Linked DNA regions of Drosophila melanogaster. The protein of the gene in region 3 interacts with the protein of the main gene of each other region in a pairwise test. Each region holds a gene or a part of one and is shown on either strand. Other genes may lie near its edges.

Region 1 (7,699 bases), on a different chromosome or scaffold from region 3:
GCTGGCAGGCGGCCACCACCTGCTGTTGATTACTGGGCGTGACCAGTGCCCGCACCACCTGCAGCAGACAATGGAAGTTTGAGACCTTCTGTGGCGACCAGCCAACCTCTTCCGCATCCTGTGAGAGCTCAAACATTGGCGACAATCGCTGGATATAGCTGCCCTCCTTAAAGAACTGCTGATTACTGGAGTTGTTCTTGAGAAGATTCAATAGCAGAATTAGGCAATCCTCCACAACAATTCCGCCATCCGAACAGCCCTCCTCACGGACAATTTCAAAAAGGCGGTCAAAGGCATTCTCAAAGGCCACAATCTTTTGGATGTTTGAGTTGCCCTTGGTCAGTTCGATAAGCAGCAGAAGGACATCGTTGCGAATCACTTCGCGGCTGTCCGTCAGCAGATCCATCAGCTTGGAAACGCCCATCGGACTGACCAGAATCAAATCCTGCAGCTCCCGCGTCTTGTTCGAAATGAGGGACGTAATCAGTTGGATGGCAGCGCGACGCACTCGAAAATCGTATTCGTCCAGATAGCCCATTACCAGGGTTACATGCTCCGGTGTCTTGATGAACATCTCCGTGAACTGCTCGCCCACATTCACCGAAACGGTGGGATTATCAGCCTCCTCGTCGAACTCCTCGCTAGTAACCACGTTGCACAGTGTGTCCAGCGCATAGCTGATGATCTCTGCATCCTGTCCGTCGTTCTGGAGCACCTGGACCAGCGGAGGCATGCCCTGTGCGCCCACCTCGATGCGGTACTTGCGGGACAGGGCTTTTAGCGCTCGGCAGGCATCCCGTCGATCCTCCAGGAGCGTTGAGGAGTAGACACGGTCCACCAGCTTCTCCACCGTCTCGGCGGCACTCGGCTGCTGACCCGGCTCCGTGCTGCCCAGCACCGTTTTGATGCCACTCTTCAGGAACTCCATGCGAGTGTGTGTTTACGGTCTATTCTGGGTTTTTTCGCATTCAACAAGACACGTCAATTCATGAAAACAATTGACGGGCGGCTTAGCGATGGCTAAAGTCCGATAGACGCCCACTTATCGATAAGCGGCTTGTCTTTAAATATATTAAATATATTTTTAGAATTACAATTTACCATATTTGACCATGTTTGTGTAATTACCTATATTTACACTTTTTTGATAATCTAAAACTTTTTTTTGAATTACATAAAATATTGCTACTTTCTAGCTGACGTCGGGACTTAAGCTGAGTGGCATCCCTGTCGGCGATAGTCTTACTGCCAAAATTTTATTAAACTAAAAACGACTCGACAGCCCTGGTGCTATCGATGCTATAAGTAAGTTGAAAACAAAACTAATTTAGCAAATTTGTGTTTAAAACTAAACGAGAGAATCCCAAAAAATACAATATAAAGCGTTCCACACACGCGGCGTAAGAAGTTCTCAAAAATATCAACACAGTTATCACGACGCTGGGAGAAATCACTCGTTTTTATTACGTAATGCGGCAAAATGTCAACCCATAACATAACAATCCCCACATCAATTTGTGTAAATCATATGTAAATCTCGCCATCTCCTGTGCTTGTCTTGCAGACCTATGGGCAGTGGGATTGTGGTTCAATTGGCTCGAAAGTACGGCGCAGTGATATTCTTTCCCACTGTTGCAGTCGGATCGATTTACGCAGATTGGTCGCACACCCGCCAGTGGAAACGCCAGCAGCTCCAGTTGGCACACCGAGCCCAGCTGAAGGATCAGCGCTAAGAGGATACACAAATATACACCATGGTCTTGGGACTGGATAAGCGAGCACTGTGGGGCGCGTTGCCCCTGCTGGGATTTGCCATTGGCCACTTCCTGGACAAGAAGGAAACGGAACGTATGACCATGTTCCGGGACAAGAGTGCCCTATACGGCCGTCCCGCCGGCAGCGAGGGTAAGGCGCCATCCTGGTAGGCCTGCCCAACATCGCCATCCCAAAATATTATTTTTTTTCCCCCAATTCACTGTTATTCAATAAACCGGAGAAATGTGAAATACGCCTGTCGTCTAGTTTACCTGCATGGCCAGCGGACGAGATTTGCGGTCGGGAACGTGATTTATTTGTGAAGGATTGCGTACCATTGTTTGTTTTACTCAGGAAAAACATAAAAACCTCAACACACGTCTAACGATAAGCCGAAAACCAATGAAAAATCCAAGGAGATAACTCGTTTTTCGAAGGATTTTACCTGGGCATCGCTGCACGATATGCGAGTTCTGCTTAGTTCGGATCAGGGGCGTAGGCTGGATATTTTAGAAGAGCATTGGTGTATTCTACCAAAACTCTTATTATTTATTGTAGAACTTCTTGAGCATGTCACATAAATCACTTGAAATGTGGTAACCGAGAGTAGTCTTTTTAAATGAGTTTCGTTAAATGGCATTGAATTATCTAATACATGTGAATCGAGATTTTTAAGAATTAATAGAAAAAAAAAACTTTTATAAGCATGAGCCCCCTAAAAACTTTCATTTGCACGACCATGCCTATATGTACTATGTAACTGCTTCCAGTAAAAACCGTTAGACAGAATGGATAATCGCTCACTTCAAATATGAAATATGAAATCCGATAAGGACATTTCCACTTTAACAAACAAGGCAGCAAATTGAAATGCCAATGGAACAAAACTAATTTATTTTTATGGCTCAGGGCTAGGGGTTTGTACTCGGTTTTGGATTCCGGTTTAAGATCGGTTTTGGGCTCGAGTTCCAAAATTGAGCGTGATGAATCGCTGGAATTGTGTTCTTGGGCGTGCTGCCCCTCTCTAGACCATTGTTTCCAATGGTCAGTAGTTTGTACACAGGCGCAGTGGGATCAAATGGAACGGATTTTCCAGATTTTCGCCTTTCAAGGGCTTTCTCTCTCTCACAGCGGGGGAGAGCGTGAGCGAGAGGGTGAGATGCCAGAGATTTGCAAGTGGATACCGTTGAACTGTGGTTGGGAGCGAGAGGGTAATAGCACGATCTTTGTTCCTGGAAGGAAACGAGAGATCCAGACGTGCAACAATAACATAACAGTGCTGGTGTCTCTCGGCGGGAAAATAGCCAAATTGGGCATTAGCATGCAGGTGCGAAAGGGTTTTATGGAGAGGTTATTTATATGAAGGTCAGGTTGAAATGACTGCTATCAATTTTAATCGGTAGTTGTCTTGTATATTGGTTTTTAAATAGTTTTGTATTTTAATCCATATTACAATTTCTTAATTTAATGATGAAATAGCTATTTGTTTATGTATGTAATTATATCATTAGATTGCATATTTGCAAAATGTATTTTGTAAAAATTACAAATCTAGCTTGTTTTTAGAATATTCATTCTTCCGCCCTATTTAGCGGGGTAGCGGCACTACTTAAACCTCTCTCTCGCGCACTTGTTGTTGCTCTCTCTCCCGTTCTTGCAGGTAGCAATGAGAATTCCAGAAATCCTGCATCCCAAAAACCAGTCTCAAATCGTGTTTGGGTTTTGTAGCAAGCGGATCATTTGTAATCGGCGGCGGAATACCCAAAATACCCAAAGAGTAAAAAAAAGACTTAAGGCAAAATGAGCGGAGAGGAATCTGCCGGCATGGACTTTTCGCAAAAGACCCTGCAGGATTACGAGGTTTTGGCCGTGATGGGGAATGGATCCTTCGGCACCTGCTACAAGGTGCGCGACAAAAGCACCGGTGAATTGTTCGCCTGGAAGGGAATGAACTACGATGAACTGGACGAGGCCAAGTGCGACGCTTTGGTTTCGGAAATCAGTGTTCTGCGGCAGCTCCAGCATCCTAACATTGTGCAATACTACCATCATCTGGTGAACCGAGAGGCCAAGTCGGTGTACATTGTTATGGAGTGCTGTGCCGGCGGCGATCTCGCCCAGATTGTCCAGCGAGCGAGATCCCAGAGGCAGCGGTTTGAGGAGCCCTACATCTGGCGGGTGCTCTTCCAACTTTGCCGGGCGCTTCAGGTGTGCCACAACAAAATCCCCAACGGAACCATCTTGCATCGCGATATCAAGCCAGCAAATATTTTCCTGGATGCGGCCGGGAATGCCAAACTGGGAGATTTCGGTCTGGCCAGAATGCTGCGACGAGATCAGAGCTTTGCCGCCTCCTTTGTGGGCACTCCGCACTACATGAGTCCGGAGTTGGTGAAGGGCAGGAAATACGATCGGAAGAGCGATGTCTGGGCCGTTGGTTGTTTGGTATACGAGATGTGTGCCCTAAGACCGCCGTTTCGCGGCAGAGCCTTTGACCAGTTGTCCGAGAAGATCGCCCAGGGTGAGTTCAGTCGGATTCCGGCAATCTATAGTACTGATCTGCAGGAGATCATCGCCTTCATGCTGGCAGTGGATCATGAACAGCGTCCTGGCATCGAGGTTATCATTCGGCATCCTCTGGTGGTGCGTAATATTAGCGAGTTGGATGGCAAGTTCCCAATTCTAGTTGATTCTGGAGAGGATTTCTACACACTGCCTTCGGGTGCCAGGCTTTTCGAGGACGAAGAGGAAGATGGAGTTCATCCAGAGCTATCGAGCACCATGTTTACGGAACAGTACAGCTTCAATGAAGGCTATGGGCAAAGGAGACTCAGCGTTACTGGTGTGTTTACTCCAGATTTGCGAAGTGAACTCTTCTACTCCGCCAAGCGCAAAATCTTTCCTGCCAAGAAACTACAGCTGTCGGATCCCTCTCTTTATGAAAGTATAAGGAGAGAGGAGCGAGCGGAGGAGAGGCAGGTGGAACTGGCGGAAGAGCGGCGCCGTAAAAAGGATCAGGAGCAGCAGAAAAGGGATCAGGAGCTTCTAAAGGAGGCCCCTAGCAGTCCTCGTGCTCTTACCCAAAACATATTCGATGAAGTACTAAAGACCCGTCTCCACGCCATTCGTGCCCAAGAATCCCTGTTGCAGCAGAAGCTCGAAGAGCTGCAGACCCGGGAGCAGGAGTTACAGCTGGCCGAACAGCGCGTGCAAACGCTGGAGCGGCAGATGCAGGAAAAACTTCTTCAGCAGGAGAAACACACTTGTAGTTGCAGACAGCCGATAGCTCCGCCCATTCCTCCTAGGAAGCCAGCGAAATCGCACCATGATGACACCTACTGCACTATCGAACTCAACGAGACGTCGCCCACGGTGGCTAAACTCAATTTAGCCACACTTCCGGCACCAAAATCGCTAAATACTCTGCGTAAGGTTACCTTCAAGTCGCCCCAAAAGTTTGTTACCTATGGTATCGAGAATATGCCCCCACCGGCGGTTAAACCGGCAGTGAATCCTCCGCCCACTGGCGTTCCCATGCAAATGAGCGTATCCAGCAATGATTCCGGTGACAGCCAGGCCTCCTCCACCCGCAGGAAATCTATACTCTCGCTTTTCGGGTTGAGTCGCGGATCCAAGGCGACATCCAAATCCTTGCCATCGGTCAACCAGGTAGCCCAAGCAGCTGCAACTCGCGTGCAGCGACCTCCTTTGGCCGTCAAGCCACCGATCACGCAGGAACAGCCGGCAGAAGTTCCACCAGTGGCCAATCTCTGGACAAAGGAGCAGAAGAAACAAGCCTTCGAGCTGCTGGCGGCCATGAATGCAGCCGAGAGGGAGGCAAGCGGAGGTGGAGTCGTTGGTTCTGGACCCGGAGGAGCACGTCGCCAGCATCTGCGGCAATCGGTGAGGGAACGGAATTCCACGCTGCAGCGGAACCGCATGCGGAGGTCTTTGGTGGTGGCCACTGGCCATCAGAAGCTAACAACGCGCGACCAGATGGTGATCTGATCAAATTGATCAGGAAAGATGTGCAGTCCAGGAGCCATGGCAACCATGGAGACTATGAGCGTTGTGATGTGGAATAAGTTCCGAAATATTTACATTTTTTTTATGCAAAAATTTTTTTGAATGCCATATTTTAAACACGTATTATTAGCATTAAGATTCCAGTTTTTTCAGCTGCCATTCATTGTGCAATTTGCATTAGTCTTAAAATAAATATTGATGAAATGAGATACATTTGTGTTTAAAATTTCAATTTTCGTGTTTTTATTTATTGTTGTTCGCTTGTAACCGTTAAGTTCAATTTACGCATTTTCAGTGCTGGGTATTGTAAAAAGAATATATAAACTTAGCATTGCATCTTTACAGCGTAGTTTTCAAGCAATATACTTAAAACAGCAAAAATTAAAAATTACATTTAAAGAATGCTAACTAATAGAAAATTACCAGTCGCTTTAATCTTATTTAACAGTTGCCAACACTTTTACCGCGCCAGCTGTTGCCTATCGATAGACCGATTACCGGTTTGTTACGCAAGCAACAGGTCTGGCGTGATTTCTGATTGGATTCTTGCCATTTACCTGTGTGATTGCTGTGCTAGTTAATACAAATTAATTAAATTCCAAGATGTCCGCCCGACTGCTGCAGGCCACGCGTCGCTGGAGCGCCCATCGCAACTACAGCTCCAAAATCGCCGAAGTTGTGGTGGTTTCGGCAGCCCGCACACCAATTGGCAGCTTCCAAAGTCAATTGGCCCCACTGACGGCTACCCAATTGGGAGCCCGTGCCATCGAGGCGGCCATCGAAAAGGCCGGAATTGCGAAGACCGATGTCCAGGAGGTGATTATGGGCAATGTGGTATCTGCTGGTCTGGGACAGGCCCCCGCCCGTCAGGCTGCCATCTTCGCCGGACTGCCCACCAATGTATGCTGCACCACGGTGAACAAGGTGTGCTCGTCGGGCATGAAGGCCGTTATGCTGGGCGCCCAATCCCTGATGCTCGGCTATGCTGATGTGGTCGTTGCCGGCGGTATGGAGTCCATGTCGAATGTTCCCTACTATCTGAAGAGGGGAGCCACGCCCTATGGCGGCGTCAATCTCACCGACGGCATTGTTTTCGATGGCCTCTGGGATGTGTACAACAAGTTCCACATGGGCAACTGTGCCGAAAATACGGCCAAAAAACTGGAGATCACACGTCAGCAGCAGGATGACTTTGCCATTGAATCATACAAGAGATCGGCTGCCGCGTGGGCCAACAAGGTGTTCCAGGACGAGATTGCCCCGGTGAAGATTCAGCAGAAGAGGAAGCCGGAGATCGTCATCTCAGAGGATGAGGAGTACAAGCGGGTGAATTTTGACAAGTTTGGACAGTTGGCCACCGTTTTCCAAAGGGAAAATGGCACTGTGACAGCCGGAAATGCATCCACCTTGAATGATGGCGGTGCCGCCGTGGTTTTGATGAGTGCCGAGGCAGCCCAGAAGGCGGGCATTAAGCCGCTGGCCAGGATTGTGGCCTTCCAGGATGCGGAGACCGATCCCATTGACTTCCCCATTGCCCCAGCTCTGGCCATTCCCAAATTACTGAAGCGTGCCGGCGTTCGCAAGGAAGACGTGGCCATGTGGGAGGTCAATGAGGCCTTCTCCCTGGTCGTTTTGGCCAATATCAAGAAACTGGATGTGGATCCAGCCAAGGTTAATGTTCATGGAGGTGCCGTGTCAATTGGCCATCCAATCGGCATGTCCGGAGCCCGTCTGGTGGCCCATCTTTCGCACAGCCTGAAGAAGGGCGAGCTGGGATGCGCCTCCATTTGCAATGGCGGCGGTGGAGCCTCCTCCATTCTCATCGAGAAGCTGTAAAGGTCACCTGGCGGACCTGCTCTCAACCAGAAATGCATTTACTACTGATCCATCGAGATTATTGTGGAAAGCTCTATGTTTT
Region 2 (10,320 bases), on a different chromosome or scaffold from region 3:
GATAACAGATAGTAAATGTGGGATCTACGCACAAAAATAAACAGTGCACTGAGAGAAAATTACACTACATTCCGATTTATGTTTGTAAATCTAATTCTGCTCTTTAGGATTTGAGCTCAAAGAAGCTGGCGTCGAAAAAATCGAATTTTTGAAACTTGAAAGCTGGAATCGTTTGTCCATGTTTGCCCAGTCCAGTTTTCGACATCTGAATTTGTAGTAAAAGTTCGACAATTTTCGAAAATCAAAAAGTTTACTTTTTTCATAATTTTTTTTAATTGCAATAACCCGTTTGCCCATCCTTTAGAATTTTGAAAAATGTATACGTTAGAAAATATAAGACATTCAGGTTAATCTCGGTCTACTCAGAAAATAAAGCGTTTGCCCATCTCTTATAACTAAATATTATAAAAAAAAATGTTTACTTTTTTCATCGTTGTGGTGGCTATTCACAACGCCAACTATCTAATTGCGACTTAAAAAAATTTTCATTTTCAATTTTCGAACTTTTTGAAAATTCAGATCTCGAAAACTGGACGTGGGCAAAAAAAACTTTATCGGTGGGCAGACCAACTCTCCAGCTTTCAAATTTCAAAAATTCGATTTTTATTATTATTATTCATTATTTTATCAAATTCATAATATTCTAAGACATTTGTTATTTTATTTCCCAGTTGCTTGTTTTTAAATTTCCTCTCTCAAAGATTTTGTAATATTCCTAGTTATTTTTAAACAGTTTGGGGGCAGTTTTGTTTATATTATTTTTTCGAGTGTAGACCGCAACGCACCGCCCACATTTGGAGTGAAGCTTACGTGCGTCAGCCAGCGACGTCCGCCAAAACGCCACTCTCCCTGCCACGAATTTATCGATGCTGTTGCTCATTACTCTTTGGACTGTTGTTTGGTTATCTCTTCGCTGGAAGGGTGCTCAAGGGATGTAAATTATGTTTATTCCAAAACCACACACACAAACACACATTAGAAAACGAGTAAAAGAGCCGAGAGCAAAAGCTTTTGGCATTGACATTGAACAGTCAGCTGTTGGGAAGAAGCAAAGGAATGAGAAGAATTTAGTAGGAGGCGGAGGAAGAGAAAAAGCTCCACTGCAAAAAGCCGCAAAAAGTCAGGGTCAGCTCTCCGCATGTAAAAATCTACAGTCGAAGTCAGCTAGATTATAACACCAGGTTTAAATACTTTTTCAATGCTCATAATTTTATATTTCACATTCTTATAAAACACTATTTAAAATTAAATAAAAATCGATTTGACTTGTTTTAAAAATAAATACGTGCATGTATAGCACATATAGTATGCAAATAAAAAAAATTATGTGTTTTAGTGGGTTACGCTAGATTTTAGTGGTAAAACGGTGGAGCGCATACGTTGCCATCCTGTAATCCCAAGTAGAAACCGACCCGCTGCTGCGGCTGACTTTGATGCGGATTTTGCTGCTGATGCTGCTGGGATATATCCTGGTACCCTGATTCCAACTCGGTGTAGGACATGGTAATCCTTTGTGTTGGTGTTAGTGCGAGTTATCCAAACAAAACAAGGAGCAAACAACAACACTGGGAAACGTTTTTCGTATTCTGTTTTTACATTTTTCACTCTCACCCCCACGCACGCAACTTTGCCGCGTGTTAAAAATATAAGTGTGCGCTTATATTTTTGTTAACGATTTTTTCTCTCACTGTCCTTCGATTTACGAGTTACGAAATCTGTTATTGGTGTGGTTTTATTATTTGTATTATTATTTTTTCAATTTGGTGTGTCGTTCTAAATTCGCCGCCGGCGGAATTATGGAATTGGGTGGGCAAGGCACGCGGGCAGCTGGGTGAATAACAGGATGAGCGGGAGGTCGGCCAATTGCTGTGGGTTACGTGCTCACTAATAATTAATTGTTATTAAACTAGTTTTCTCTCGCTTTTGATTATTTGTCTGCCTTTGCTGTTTTCTTTTAAGGCCATCACACGCACACACGACTACTCGCTTTAAAAGTTCCGTTTGTTTTGGCAATCCGCCGCAGCTTTCAGGGCGAATTTGTCTAGAAAGCTCCGCAATGTCTTGAAAGCTTGGCTGCAAAAAATCACGCGGGCTTTTGCCAAACAGCTGTTCTGTAAATCAAGAAAGAAAAGGTATTAAAAGGTATTAAAAAGATAATAGAGAGATATAACCAAAAATAAGTATATAAATGTATTTCAGTTCAATATTGCGACTAGTATGTATATTTGTTTGTTAGAATTGCTTATTAATCGTAAGAATTAATTTGTGTATGTAGTTAAGGATACTACCGAATCTACCCATTAAATTTTATATTATTTTAATATTTTTTTAATATTTAATATTTAAAAATATACTTAATATTTAAGTATTAACATATACATATTTTCTTCCATTTCAGCTCAAATATATATATTCCATAATACAAATTAAATAATAACAAGAGAGATTGCTATAGTCGGCTATCAGATACCCGTTACTCAGCTAATGAATATGCCAACGCAAAGTTGGGAAATAAAATGAGAAAAAATATATATGTAAATGGTTCGAGTTGTGGGCGCTGTGGGCCAAACGCCGTTTTGGGAGTTTTTTTTTATTATATATCGATAGAAATGGGCAAAACAAGCAAAAAAACGTAGAAAAAACAAAACATTTTTCAAAAGTGTGGGCTTGACAGCTTTTGGCTGTTTTTAGGCGTTAGAGTGGGCGTGGCAGAGTTTTTTGGCAAATCGCGTCTATGTCTCTGGAAGCTGCATGATAAATCTGAACATTCTAGCCTGTATAGTTTCTGAGATCCTGACGTTCATACGGACGTAATGACAGACGGACGTGGCCAGATCGACTCGTCTAGCGATCCTGATCAAGAATATATATACTTTTTATAATGGGAAACGCTTTCTTCTATCTGTTACATACTTTTCAACGAATATAGTATACCCATTTACTCGTAGAGTACAAAAAGGGTACAAAAATGTAAAAATGTATAGAGAGAAAGTGGAACCAGAAAACTTAAACTTAATAAAAATGTGTTTAGTTAAAACAAGAATGCTTCGTTTATCGTTTCCTCCTTTATTCGAGCAATCTAACCTATGAAATCCTAATCCAATCGGCGATGTTTGAGGAGTAGTTTGGTCTTGATCCTCTGGCGATCCCGAGCGATGATCTCCATGCGGTCCTTTATGTTGGTCTGGAAGAAGATCAGGTGCAGGGTACGACTGGCGGAGCAGAGCTATGAGTTAATTCAATGAATATAAAGGAAAAAGTAGTCAGCTTGTATTAAGTTTGCAAACAAGGCAATTTCAAATCAAATATTTATATAAAATCGCATTAATTATTCTAAAATACCAGTAGTTTTGGTTTTGCTTACTCAAAGTTAAACCAAAGTCAATGTAAGCACAGTAGGTAACACTGCAGTCGAGTTTTTTGACTATCGCATACCCTTCACTCAGATAATAATTAATTTCTAGTTTTATCATCCAAGCCTAATGTACACATTTGGCACCTTTTACACCTAGACAAGTAACCAAGTAACCCACCTGTTGAAGCAATCGCGCCTTGAGGCGCAAGTTTGCAGGCTCCTCTGCATCCAGGCCATGTCCACAAGTTTCCAGGTGCAGGTTCAACACGAAGATCAGGGTGTCTCTGATGGTTTGGACAATGCGCTGCACTTGCTCGGTTGCAAAAAGCCGGCGGACCAAAAATCCTCGCACACCGGCATTAATACGTGTGGCCGCCCACTGGCGCTCTTCCTGTTTCAGCTCGACATATTTCTGGCAGGGATTAGAGGCGAAATTAAACAGGGAACGAAGGCACTTGCTAGTTGGGTTAGTAATTAGGTTAGCTACTGGTGCTAGAGGCTTGGTCCCTCGATTTCCTCGCAGTCTTTGTTAAGGCACTTGCATAACTGACTACCCGAATTGCTAGGGCTTCTTGCGCTGTTTGTGTTGGGGAAGAGGAAATAATAGAATGGGAGTACAGGAAATAGATATTACAGATTATATCGCCAAGGTTTTCACTTTTTTAGGGATAAAATACCTAATTATTATATTAAGTGATTATGCTAAGAATATCAATATCAATATCAATATAAAGCAAAAAAGAATGCTATCAGATACCCGTTACTCAGCTAGTGGATATGCAAACTAGAAATTTCATCATAATTTTTCTGGGATATCGATACAAAATTGGGAATAAAATGAGAAAAAATTTAAAAATTAATTAAAAATGTCAATAGAAATGTACATGTCTAATAAAATTGTGAAAAATATCCAACATATATTCAAGCTTTTATAGTTCCTGAGATTTTGACGTTCATACGAACAGACGGATATGGCCGGACCGACTCGGCTATAGATCCTGATCAAGAATATATATACTTTATATGGTCGGAAACGATTCATTCTGCCTGTAGCATACTATTCAACGAATCTAGTATACCCTTTTACTCTAAGAGTAACGGGTATAAAAATAGAGGACCATAAATAAAAAATCGTTAATGCTTTAGTTAAATAAAAGGAAAGGTCAAATAGCAGAGATTTAAAGTAAGAGTCCAACCAAATTAGCTGCTAACTTAGGTTGGCACAAATGAAAACCTTTGTGACTTAAAGCAAATAAAATATCGCTCAGATTCGCTTGAAAAACTTACATTGCCCAGCCGCTTGGTCGGTGAGGCGCTTTTTGGTGGGGCGCTTCCCCTTTTCGCTATAATGGAGCTATTTTTTCCCGGGGAACTTTTCGGTCGTCCTGCTCCACCTCCAGGCTTCGCTGGCGATTTCTTCACCTCGCGGTCTGCTGCGGTGATTGTTTTTACTAGACTACCGCCCACAGATTGCGATCGGCGCCGGACAACTTGGACACTTCGTCTGCTATTGGTTAAGCTGCTGTTCCGGAGGGGCAACGATCGCGGTGTGCTGGGGGCACTGAGCAGCTGCGGTTCCGAGTCCTTTGATGGTTTTGGACTAAACAGCCTCTTGCGAGCGGAAGAAGGCCCCGCAATTTGGCACTTGTCTTCCATCGTCGGAAAGTCTTCTATGTCCTCTGAAAAGGAGGGTAACGTAGGCGAGGGGGAAAAACGCTGCAGGTCTCCCGTACTGGTGCTTTGCGATATCAGACTGTCAGGATTTTCGGTGGCCGAGGAAACATCAATTTCGGCACACAGTTCCTCTATGAGCTGACGCTGCTGATGATCAAACTCGGCCTGCATGCGACGACGTTCCTTCTCCTGGTGAATGACCAATTGATTCATTCGCTCCCGATGGCCACGCAGATAGTTGCGCACTCCTGCCTTGCGGCTGGCTTCCAAAGCGCCATGCTCGTCCAGCGCCCGTTCTATTATACGCTCCACCTCGCGATCCCGCCTAGAACAGCTGCTGCCGGCGGTTGTGGTTTTAGTGGCGATGGTGCTCTTGGTTGCGGCGCTACTGTTGCTATTGTAGCTGTTGTGGCTAATTTTGCTGCTAATACTCCTTGCACTACGGTTCACCCGCTTGGCCTGAGACTCGATGGTCTGCTTCTCGAAGTTGGCCAAACTCTGGCTGGGTTTCACAGCCAGGGCCTCCCTCTCCATGTGCTCCACGAGAACCTGGGAGGGCTCCTCTAGTGTGAAACTTCTCGAACGCTGAAAATTAGCTGGTTCTGCCAGTGGACTGCCGAGCTCCCTTGCCGTTGTGTCCTTTGTATCCTGATCCTGCTGGTCTTCGGCTACCGCAGGACTTGTGCGCAGGATACACTTATCTGGAACTTTGGGCAGCAGCTTACCCAGTCCCGACTGCTCGAACTGCAGGATACGATCGGTAATGCGATTATGCCGCCTTGGGGAAGTGTTTTCTATTGATTTCACAAATGGTTGAGGCGTGGGAGGATCCACCTGTATGGTGGGCAACTGTTTGCCAAAGACCAGAGTCTGAGGACGAGCCTGGCCCCGTGTGCTGTCATAGATTAACGTTTCTGTCTGCTGCAGCTGTGACACACTTCTCCTACTGGCCATGTCGGATCCCGCCGAGTGTCTGGCCAGGCGGTACCGCTTCTCCAGCGCTTCTGCCATCTGGCGGGCCAGCTGCACCTCGCGCTTCTTGGCGCTCGTCATCTGGAACAAAGTAAAATGGTTACGCCTCAGTAAATGCCACTCCCTGACCAAGAATTTAAATCACCAGCGGTGGCAGTATAGGCTGCCCGTCCAAGTGGAACCGAAAGGAGACAGGGTCCATGGAACTAGAGCCACTGCCCTCGGAGGGGGCGCTCCAGATCGATATGGTGGTCGTGGCCGTTGGTGTGGTGGCCTCGCTGTGGCTACCTCCCATCTCAACTGCAGACAGCAGCTGCTCCATTGCCCTGCTTAATTGGAGAAGCATTAGATTGAGCAAAATCAGTAATTAGAAGCCCGTAAGCAACCGGGATTCATAAAATCCCAAGACCCACTCACCACGTCGCATCCATTGGTGTTTTGCTACTGGGAATTTTTGTTGGGACGTCGAAATGTCAGGAAGCCTTCTCAGAGGTCAGCTGAATCTAGGTGTTTTGTGAAAGTTCATTAAATGTCTGCTATGTTTTAGTTGCCATTAGAGATGACGATGGCACTAGGGAGCCCTCGACTTCCCGCCAAAAATTAGGAAACCTCTGAAGAGTTCATTACATCAATCAAATGATATCCCGAATCGTTGAGAGTTTTGTATTCAATGTTTCTACCGTGGATCGCAGCTACCATCAAGAGCCAATGAGAAATGCTGCTTTAATGCTGGGGAAAACATTTATTTTCAAACGGCAATTCAAAACTCACACGAAGTCCATGCAGCCCTGACGTCAGATATCGATAACCGGACTTTTGGAAGTAGCGTTTTTAGAGAAAATTTGAGGACTCCACAGATTAGCAGAGGAACAAGTTTTCAGTCCTTCCAGAATTATAGTAAAGAAAACGGTGGATTAAATTAGTGTTCAGGAACTTATATTGTATATTTCGTATGCTTCAAAATCTTGTCAAAATTAAAGAAACATTGTCTGCGAAAACTTAACTTTTATTGGTTCTTAACAAACTAATTTGAAACAGCTGGCCGAATTCAACAGTTTACTAGGTGGTTATCGAAACTGGTGTGGTACATTTTGGTATTTGATTTGCGCCGGATGGTATTTTCCTTCGCCGTGCGCGCGGTCACATTCACTGGATGTGTTTTTTTGCGCTGATTGTTGCTCTGGCGCGATCGAATTTGCCTGGAATTCGGGAGTCAACATAATATTTTCGAAAGTCACCAGCTATAGCGAAAAGTATGCGAGTTCTATTACAGCTTGTCGATATGTTGTGTTCGTAACTTCTGTTTGCATATGTTATGTGTGTGTGTTATCTAGTTACAAAACGATCTAAAACCGTTTTTGCAAAGAACGTCCGCAAAACTGAGTTTGTACTTCAAATATGAACTATTTGCGGTTTATATTGCTCCAGATTTCTCTCTTTAAAGTTGCATTGTAGATGCAGTCGTGTGTGTGTGCGTGAGATGGGAGTGCAATTTTTTTTCAACAGTATCAGCTTTGTTTTTTAAGTAGAATACAAGTAATTTTTACCCCTAACTTTATTCCTAGCCCCTTTCCTTTATAAAAATACGGTAAAAGTGTAAGGAAAACAAAAACAAAAAGCGCAAAGTTTCGCACATATATGTGTACATATGCATACACACGCTGAGTGTGGTGTTTCTGTATTGTTTTTTTTTTTGTGTTTCATTCTGCGACGCAATTGAAAAAGACATCGAAGGCCAAACAACTTGGTGTTTTTTACGTTTTGTATGGCTGTAGTTGCTGTTGTTGCTGCTCAGTTGGGCGTTAGTGTTTGGCTCCGTTCTTATTATTATTATTACAACTTTTCCACGCGCTTCGCTCTCTGTTTCTCTTCCACATGCTTGCTTTCGTCCTCTCCCACGCTGCATTGCTGTCTCACTCGCACACAGCCGGTAAGCCAAGCAGCAAACAGCAACAACAACAGCAACGGCGGCGACAATAAATTATGAAAAACAAGGGAATAAGTTGATGAAATAAGTATTTCGAATTAAATGGTTAATCACTGGTGGAAAAGTCGCAGTTCCAATGACACCTTTTCCATGCTGAACTACGGAGTTTTTTTTTGTTCTTAATCGGTATACGTTTGTGAAAACAAGTGCGCTTGTGTGAGTGAGACAGGGCCTCAAAAGCCAGAAAAACATGACAAAAACATTTTGGTAAATTGCCATGTATCCGAAATAATGCTCATGCAACAGTTACATATAAATATTGTTATTTTATTTTCTACGCAGTAGTCGCGGATTTTCAACAAAGAGCAATCATAGTGATGGTATAAAAGAGGGGAAGGACGAAAGCAAAGAGAGCAAACCGAAAACAGTTACTCTGCCCATGCGCACAGCTGACCCAGAACCTGGCATAACGGTAAAGTAATTGTGTCGTACAACAAGCGAAACTTGACAGCGAAAGGGAACCGGAAGTCGCCTAAAATCGCGGAGCGGAAAGGAAATCAGTCCGCCAACCGCGGGAGCTGAAAATCGAAATCACAACCCACAAAAGCGATTCCAAAGTGCTATCTTGGTGCTACTCCCATACAAAATGTTCCAAGTCCTGCCCCGTCCGTCAAGATCCACGTTCCACTGCATAGCGGCAGCCGTTGTCACAGTCGTCCTAATGTCATGGTAAGTCGAAGTAACAATCCATCCAGAATTTTGCCATTAATTGATCCAGCTTTCCTAGAAAACTGACCTCGTATCAAAAAAAAAAGGGGAATCTTAAGACCCTTCTAAGCCCATATTTAAAACTATAGTTTTCAATTCAGTAGATAGGCACAATCAGAGTTTATTGGCAAGATAGTTCTTAGTACTTAATTACTGGTAAAAGTGGCAATTTTCGTTGATCGATAAGTTTGAAACGTGCGGCGTTTAAATTTGAGGAATAAGACAACAAATAAAAAACAATAAAATTTGTAGGCATTACGGGGAGTCCGTCCGTTTTTGGAAAATGTGAAACAGGTACATTGGATGAATGTCCATAGTTGTAATCTGATTTCTGTTAAAAGTTAACAATTGTCGGCGGGTTTTAATTAGGGCAGTAATCTCAATAAATAGCGACACGTAGTGCGTATATTTACGCACTAAATGATGTACATTTTAATTGGGTCGAGCGGGTCCGAATTTCTTCCCAGCCAATTCAGTCTCGTTCCCATTGAAAGAAAGCTGCGCAGCAAAGTGAATATGTAAAATATACTGTGTAAAATCGTATGGTCGGTCACACAAGACAAATTGTGGAGCTGTAGGTAGGAAAGAAAGAAAGAACCTCTTTGCGTGGCCAATTTCGAACTGAAAGTTGCAATGTTTTATTTTCGGAATATATGTGTGTGCACACAAAGATTGTTCCACATATGTATGTATGTAAAAGCGCACCGAAATGAAGCTCATGTGCATGCACATGGCCATCCAAATACAGCTATGGCCAAGACCGTGAAGCACACATTTAAAAAGCGCCCGAAATTAGCATTTTGTGGTTTGTGGTCCTTTCTTTAGTTCCTATTTATTTATTCTTTTATTAAAACTACAAAAATGCATTTTTTTTTTTTGTAATATCCACAACTTGTGAAACTAAACGTGATTACTGTTTATTTATCAGACTGGGCAATTTTTAAAAGTAGTATTATAACTTGTTTGCGCACTTGTTAAACTGATAAAAAGTGTATCAATTTCCGTTCAATTCCGCTGATTATAAATCAGTTCTATTGACTTAGGCTCCGCTGTTGGTTGCTGTGTGTATGCCGGCGATCTTTTGTACGTGCTTGCACCTTCGTTTTAGCTGACTGAAAGGCCCCACCCTTCGCCCCGTTGCGCCGTCCTTGCTTTATATAAATACTCACTTGTACATAAAAATGTCACTCCATGCCCATGCACACCGACCACTCCTCCGCCCATTTAAAGCGTTCTGTGTGGCGCAATTAACCAAAACAGAATAAAATTAAATACACATCATGAATGCACGCAGCCGTTTCGCAGATACAACTCTATACGGCGAATAATTTCGGCTAACGTATTTGCAGGATGGATTTGTCCTTGTGAAATTCAGTCCAATCGATTCACACTGTGATTCGAAAGGATAGAGCACTCCGAATGAAATGATACTTGTCTGTGCAAATAATGTTATTATCTTGAGCTGCTATTGAGCTGAGTTCTTTGCAACCATTTGTTACTATTTCCGGTCACTGTTTAGGAAACGGGCTATGCACATTGTATAGCCCAAGCATTTCATATAATAAAATATTTCTACCAATCTGCCCAACCTATTAACCGTGATACATTAAATGCTCTCCGTGTC
Region 3 (6,792 bases):
TTCGCCAAACTAGAGAAACGGACAGTTTTCGAGTTTCTGAGGACATCTGTGTGTTGGTTGTGTTGTTACGGGAATGAAATAAGTTATTGGTCTTGCGAAACTTTTTGCTATCATTCAATTGGATATCGGCTTGCTACGCCGTAGTGAATTAAAATGAAGAAACTATGCTAAGAGACAAATATTGATTACATTTTGAAGTTATTTGGTATTATATATGCTCTTGTCGCTTATTGCAACGTTCGTTATATACTTTGACTAAGAAAAACTGGATAATAAACGCACTAAATATTGCGATAAGTTCAACTAGCTGGTTGTTGTGGGTAGCATTTCTGCTTCGTGTTAAAGCTTTTAAGTAATTCAATAAGATATTTTCGTACATTTGTTGTTTGTGGTGTCGTTCCACCCGCTGGTGGTTAATAAGCTTCAAAATACTTATATTTTCAATACAACTTTTCCTTCTTACACTCGCCTCGTTCGTTATCTTCTCAATTTTCAACAAATACAACAGATATTTCTCGAAATAAGAAGGCAAAATATAACATATGTATTTCCGTTTCGACTGAGTTTGCGTTTATTGATAAATTTGTATGTCGGATTAAGTTGATAGTTTTGTATATATAGAATTTCGGGTTAGGTAGAGTAGTAGGTGCTATAGTCAGCGCATTAATTGTCGTTATAGTTGGGATATTCGTGTACATTAACTGCGTTACTCATCGGAAAGGAAACAACTCTGATATCTTTGGAACAAATGCTTCGATTTAGATTTAGATATAGATTTAGGTTTGACATTGAGTTTGTGTTTCTGGTTTCGGACATTACTTGTTAACGTGGCTGGTACACATTGATATATCGATTCAAATATATATATATATTCCTCGCAATTGGAATTAGAATTGGAATTCAAACTTCTTGTAATGATATTGCTTATGACAATCGTAGCTTTTGTGGCTTCTGCACAACTATATATTGTTCCAGGTGGCGTTGATACTGGTACTGGGGTAGTACTCCACACACGTTTGCGTCCTAATCCATCTTGCTAAACTAAAAATAAGCTAAACGTCCGCCGGCGATCGCTGACTCCTCGGCAACGGCGGACCATCCTCACCGCCTCCTTAGAGAACGGTGCAGGACGACTTCTCGCGGAAGGGATTCACCTTCTGGCTGGTGAACCCGGTGAGCAGGTAGTCCTCCTGCTCGTGCTCCGTGATGTACTTCATCATCTTAGCGCATGACTCCGAGATCGTCTGGCGGTCGATGGCAGCCTCGCGACGCAGCTGCTCCACCACGACGCGCTGCTGCTGCAGGGATGATGACATTACGTCCATGATGGCTGTCTCGGATAGGCCTATGGTTGAAAAGGTTCTCAGTGTTACGGATACTGGGAAATGCAATTACGGGATAGTGGATTTGGGGTGGTGTGCTTGGTTGCTAGTGCTTGTGTGGCTTCGCCGAAGGGCTTGGTCTTTGATCTTTGGCTTTGGCTTATCTTATCGTATGATTCTGGGAATACTGGTTTGGATGGATCTTAATGGCTGGCTGGAAATAACAAGTTGGTTATATGTAGTTTAGATATCTCATTCTTTGTACAGGCTTCCCCATACGGGCACAACATCGAACAGGCGACACAAAGCTATAACATATGTGTACATTTTCGCGATTCTAGACAGAGATAGTTGGTAGATTGGTGTAGTTTAGTCAGTGTTTAGTACTAGGCGGGAAGTTAGGATAGCTAGATAGTGAGTCACACTACGCATTAACATATGTGTTATTTTGTGGCACATGTAAAGAACCGAACGCAGGCATTGGTTTCATCGATCGCATTGCTGATTAACTTTCCAGCCGAACTGGAAGCCTTGACGCGAACAAGTGCAAGGTTATTAACTGACCCCAAGTGGGCGTGGTGGTGGGCGGTGGGCGCTACTTGTGCCAGCACATGGAGAACCCGAGTTGTGTGCAAAAAACACTGCTCAACTCGTTGGGAACACCGAAAATTAGTTTTTTATGCAGAAATAGTGAAGGAGAACACACACACAAACACACGAAGGCGTACTGCGCCGTGTGGTTAGCAGAGGGATTATAGTGGAAAAGTGAAGTTTTCGACGGATGCACACACAACACATAACTATATTTGCACACTATTTGTTAATTACCAGCTCCGGCTTATATGTTTTTTTTTTTTTTAAATCTCGAACTCTACGGGCTAAAATCGAGCAAAGTTGACGAATAAAAGTGGATACACACCCAAACTAGTGATGTGCCGCGCGGCGATAGTTCGGGTGCGTGAGCGCACCCGCATACCATCGCTAATATTCGCGCAGAAAAACATACAATACGTATCAGTTTTTAGTTCCATGCGCTCTGCAAAATGATGGCCAAGGACAAGGGTCTGGCTGTGGCCGGAACGGCGGCCCCCTTACCGGCCGCCCTCGACCACGAGTGGTCCGCCGAGGAAGAGCTGCAGCTGTTCCATGCAATGGAAGGCCTGCGCCCGGTGGGCATCAACAAGCACTTCTACATGTCCTGCATTGTCCAGCGTCTGTCCAAGTCGCTGAACCGTGAAATGCCCAGCGAGCTGATCTGGCGCCACCTGGGCACCATGTACAAGCTGAAGGAACTGGACGATCTGGAGTCGCTGCCCTTTCCCAACGAGGAGCGCGAGTTCAGCCTGCCGGAGCAGGATTACGGAACGCTACAGACCAAAAAGACGGTGGAAGTGCATGCCAACGAGGAGGCTGCAGAGGCACAGTCGGCCCCTCCAACAGCAGAGACCAATGGCAAAGGTAGTTCGTTAGTTATCATCAGGATTCATTCACTTGTAATGTTGTTTTACAGCTCCACCTGCAACCAAAACGCCGGTACCGACGAATTCCACCAAGGACGGCGACAAAAAGCCCGTCGCCAAGCCCCAGGAGCAGCTGCCCAAGCGTCCGGCCAAGCGCACACGCGGCTCCATGTCCAACGAGTCCATCAGCCCCTCCACTACGCCGCCGCCGGTGCAGAGCAACAAGCGCCGTCGCATATAGGTGACCCCCGCCCGAAACTGACGATTGTTGATCCGTTTTAGCTCATTAGTTTTACTGTACTCTAATAAAAGGATTTATTCTTCGAAATCGTTGTCCTCCTCGTTGGAGCCGTTCCCGTTCTCCTGCGCCAGAACCTCGGTGGCCTGCATGTTTTCCAGGAGCGATTTGAGAAGGCGTCGGTTGAGATGGTCGGTCTGCGTCAGTTCCCGGACTGCCTGGGGCGGAGCATTCTCGTCTGCCGGTGCAGGGCTGTTCTCAGCTGGAGTCGGAGTCTCTGCCATGGCTTTGATGTGCTCCAAAACAGGCATTTTTCCCCCGAGAAATTTCAGCTTTTGCTATGACACACAGTCCGCTGGGTGACTCGTGCACTTGGAAACTTGGCTAAGTGTAGGGTACACTCGATAAAGTATCGATAAGTTGGCGTTTTACGTCAGCCCTAGTTCCACCCCTAAGTCGATCGACTTCCAATTGGACAGATTCTCCCGCTCGAATTTAATTTAATCGGCAAATATAAACAAATACGCTCCAAATGTTTGTTCCCGAAACGGAGGATATGCTGCCCAGACTAGCGCCCAGGCCGAGTGCAGCAGTGCCCATGGGCCACACCAATGAGATTATAGGGCCCACCGTGCCGGAGGTATCCATATTGTTTGGCCAGCCGCCGCAGGATCCGCAGATGCAGCCGCAGCAGCCAAATCATGCACATCAGGAGTCATCCCCTCGTGCTGCACCCACCTTCGCGTCCTGGAAGAAGCAAATGCTGCCCAGGGTCAACTTTTCGCCCATTTTGGCCACAGAACTGGGTCCTCGCACCGCTCCCAGCAGCAATAGTCCGTGCTCCTCGAAGGAATACCAAGTAATGCCCCGGGATCGCAACTATGCAAGCGATGCGCAGCAGACTACCAATCATATGAACTGCAATGCTGGTGGCTATAATGCCGAGCCCAAGCAACAGGCATATCAATCTAGGCGCTTGTCCAGCTCCTCCAACGCAGATGTCCTCACCATCTGTGCTGGCACACAGACCGATCCCTTCAACCCATCTCCTCCGCGAAAATCACTGCCCCAGGTTGTCTATTCCGACATCGACGTCAGCAACTTGGCCAATAAGAGTGATCTGGCGGCTCTGGTATCCCTTGTGGAGTCCGTGCGCCATGAGCAGCAACAGCTTCGGAATCTCTGCGAGATGATTTTGGAGCAACAGCAGCGAGCGAAACCCGAAGCCATTTCAAAAGCCAGCAGTACCACTGGCACCCAGTGCGATATTCTGACCACCAATCAAGGTGCGTACGTTGAATCTGTATGAAAAGAATCCAATAAAACATCCTTCCTAGCAGGTAGACGCTTGTCTCCCATTATGCAGGATTACATAGCAGAGGAGGAGGAACCATTGCCGCCGCCACAAGCACGAGTGATTCCTCAGTTTCCGTCTCCTCGACCACATCCGCCGATCGCCCAATCTACGGGCTACCGGGCCAATACGCCTCAGGCGAAGCGGATCCCTCAACTGGCCAAGCCCAACACCGAGAAGAGCATGGTGATGAACGAGCTGGCGCTGAAATACTTGCGCCAGCCAGTGGATGAGTTGATGAAGGATATGCGCCTGGGGGCGTCGCCGAAGTCCCCTAATCCAGAGCCACTGCGTCCGATCGACAACATAGGCCACGCGCAGAGTCCAAACGACATATCCAATGCTTCGTACAAGTATCTCAAAAAATACCGTCTGCTGCCCGAGGAGCAACTGGAGCCGGTGTGTCCACAATCTCCCATGGCGGCGACCGCCCCTTCGCCACATATTCAACTGGACTTGGAGAATATCAGGAACCAGCCGAAGCTGTTGTGAAAGCATGTACAATGTTCGTTTTGTTATTTATGCATATGTCTATTTGCGATTTAAGTGGAAATATATTTCAATACACGGAATAACGTTGACAATCTTCTGGTGATCCCAGCCTAAACTAACGTAGAGAACCACTCTTTGTATACAAAACATTTTGTGTTTGACATCGATATCTGAAGACACAATAAGAATATACGTTTAGTGAACTTGGCTGCGATCCGGCGACGGGGCTCTAACGCAGAACCAACTGTAGCTCGGATGCGGATTGCAGTAGGACCTTCAGTCCCTGCATAAAGCCCGCGCACTGCGCAAAGTCCGTTCCGAAGGCGATTTGCGTGTGGATTTCCATAGCATTGGCATAGTCGGATATTTGAATGTACTGAACTATTTGATTCAGATATTGCACCGTGGTGGGAGTGAGCTGGAATTAAAGTAAATGCCATTTGAGAATTGCAATTGAATCGCGATCTAAGGCAGCAGCTCTCACCTTTCCATCTCTCAGGCAGTCGTAGAGATTTTCGAGCCTCTTGACAACATCGACAAACTTTCGTTTTGTGCGCTTAAAATGTAAGAAAATTTATAAACAAAAGTAAGTTATTCCTTTTGTCTATATGGATCATTTATTAATAGACTTACCGGATCATTGGTTGCGCCCAGGCAGCGGTTCTTCAGCTCCTCCAGCACAGTCTGCAAGTAGATGTACTCCTCGGGGAGTGGTGGCTTCTCCTTGGGCGGCGCCGGTTGGCGCTGTTGCTGGATGGGCGCTGGCTGCTCGGTATAGCCAATGGTTTGCTGTTGTCCCTGCCAGTTTGGCTGCTGAATCCCAGGGGCTGGCTGCTGAGGCTGGAGATATGATTGCTGATGCTGCTGCTGCTGCTGGGGATTGTTGTTGAAGGCAGCCGGGTTGTAGTACGTATTGGGCACTCCTCCAAGTGGTGCTGCGTGCTGGAGAAAATAAATACATTTTTGATCTACTTCCTGACCAATAATCCGCTTTTAAATCCCACCTGATATTGAGAGGGGTCCACATAACCGTTCTGGTTCTGATTCGGGTCGACTGGGAACAGGGGATGGAAGATAGCAGCACTTGGCTCAACCACCGGCTTCGGCTTAGGCTGTTAGAGAAAGAAGCAAACAATTAGGATAAAGCCTATGACATTTCGTATACCAAGTACTTACCGCTCGCGAAGATTTCAGTGCAGGAGGATCGTTCCAGCCAGGTGGTGGTGTGGGATTGCGTTGCACATTCTGGATGACTGGTGGCACAGCCGGCGGTGGCATTGTCTCGATGGGATTCACACCGGGCACGAACTGATTCTGCTGAGCTGGCATGAGTGGCGAAGGGTTGTAAGGTTGGGCAGCCGCAATAGGATTCGTGTTGAACGCGTTGCTGTTGTACGTTGGCACGCTAGCTGGCTGGGGTGCGGGCCCAGGCACTCCTCCGCCGCCAAATGGAACCGCTGATGGAACGGGGGCCGGCACTGGATTGTATGGCATTCCGTAGGAACTGGTTGGAGCTGCTACAGATGGGTCCAAAACGTATTTGGAGCGGCCAGAAAGACCCGATCCGCCGGAGGATGATGCGCCGCCTGCTGGCGGCGGACCACCTGAAGAGCTGGCATTGCTGAGTGGGCGCGGTGGTTGGGCCAGGGGCTCTGGTTTCACAGGCTGCGGATTGAATATCTGCGGCGGAGCCTGAGGCTGCTGGGCTCCTGGGTAGCTTGTTTGTAGTGGAGGCACTTGCGCTGGCCAGCTGGGCTGTGCATACTGATTGGGCGGCTGGCCGTAGGGCATGGGAGCCGAAGGCTGTGGCTGCGAGAACGATCCACGACCACGAGTCGGTTGGTAGCCGTGTGGCGCAGCAGCGACTGCTGCCTGTGGCTGGGTGTAGTCCAGGTTGACAGCGTTATTTATCCGGTCTCGTAGGCT

What was found. The genes of interacting proteins can lie anywhere in the genome.
Region 1: the proteins of ana2 (region 3) and Nek2 interact in a two-hybrid assay, tested with the Drosophila melanogaster proteins (one study listed by BioGRID).
Region 2: the proteins of ana2 (region 3) and Cp110 interact in a two-hybrid assay, tested with the Drosophila melanogaster proteins (one study listed by BioGRID).

What each region holds. Positions count from the first base shown.
Region 1 is NC_004354.4:7,887,356-7,895,054, reverse strand, and holds Nek2 (Nek2), read left to right. Parts: upstream 1-3,408; 5' UTR 3,409-3,555; coding exon 3,556-5,763; 3' UTR 5,764-5,989; downstream 5,990-7,699. Other genes in the region: p115, read right to left, coding at 1-928; CG45089 (uncharacterized protein), read left to right, coding at 1,569-1,733; ND-MNLL (NADH dehydrogenase (ubiquinone) MNLL subunit), read left to right, coding at 1,755-1,925; Acat1 (Acetyl-CoA acetyltransferase 1), read left to right, coding at 6,385-7,617.
Region 2 is NC_004354.4:22,478,849-22,489,168, reverse strand, and holds Cp110 (centriolar coiled coil protein 110kDa), read right to left. Parts: upstream 6,775-10,320; 5' UTR 6,629-6,774; exon of another isoform or gene 6,505-6,628; 5' UTR 6,433-6,504; coding exon 6,419-6,432; intron 6,331-6,418; coding exon of another isoform or gene 6,328-6,330; coding exon 6,147-6,327; intron 6,083-6,146; coding exon 4,643-6,082; intron 3,933-4,642; coding exon of another isoform or gene 3,918-3,932; exon of another isoform or gene 3,768-3,917; coding exon 3,534-3,767; exon of another isoform or gene 3,423-3,533; intron 3,227-3,422; coding exon 3,095-3,226; 3' UTR 3,085-3,094; exon of another isoform or gene 3,049-3,084; intron 2,112-3,048; 3' UTR 1,711-2,111; downstream 1-1,710. Other genes in the region: l(1)G0196 (lethal (1) G0196), read right to left, coding at 1,380-1,502; CG12576 (uncharacterized protein), read left to right, coding at 8,575-8,657.
Region 3 is NT_033778.4:8,896,881-8,903,672, reverse strand, and holds ana2 (anastral spindle 2), read left to right. Parts: upstream 1-3,461; 5' UTR 3,462-3,552; coding exon 3,553-4,306; intron 4,307-4,357; coding exon 4,358-4,866; 3' UTR 4,867-4,944; downstream 4,945-6,792. Other genes in the region: Ggamma1 (G protein gamma subunit 1), read right to left, coding at 1,113-1,325; MrgBP (MRG/MORF4L binding protein), read left to right, coding at 2,366-2,780, 2,833-3,023; CG13751 (uncharacterized protein), read right to left, coding at 3,098-3,331; Sec31 (secretory 31), read right to left, coding at 5,096-5,284, 5,351-5,422, 5,500-5,808, 5,871-5,978, 6,043-6,792.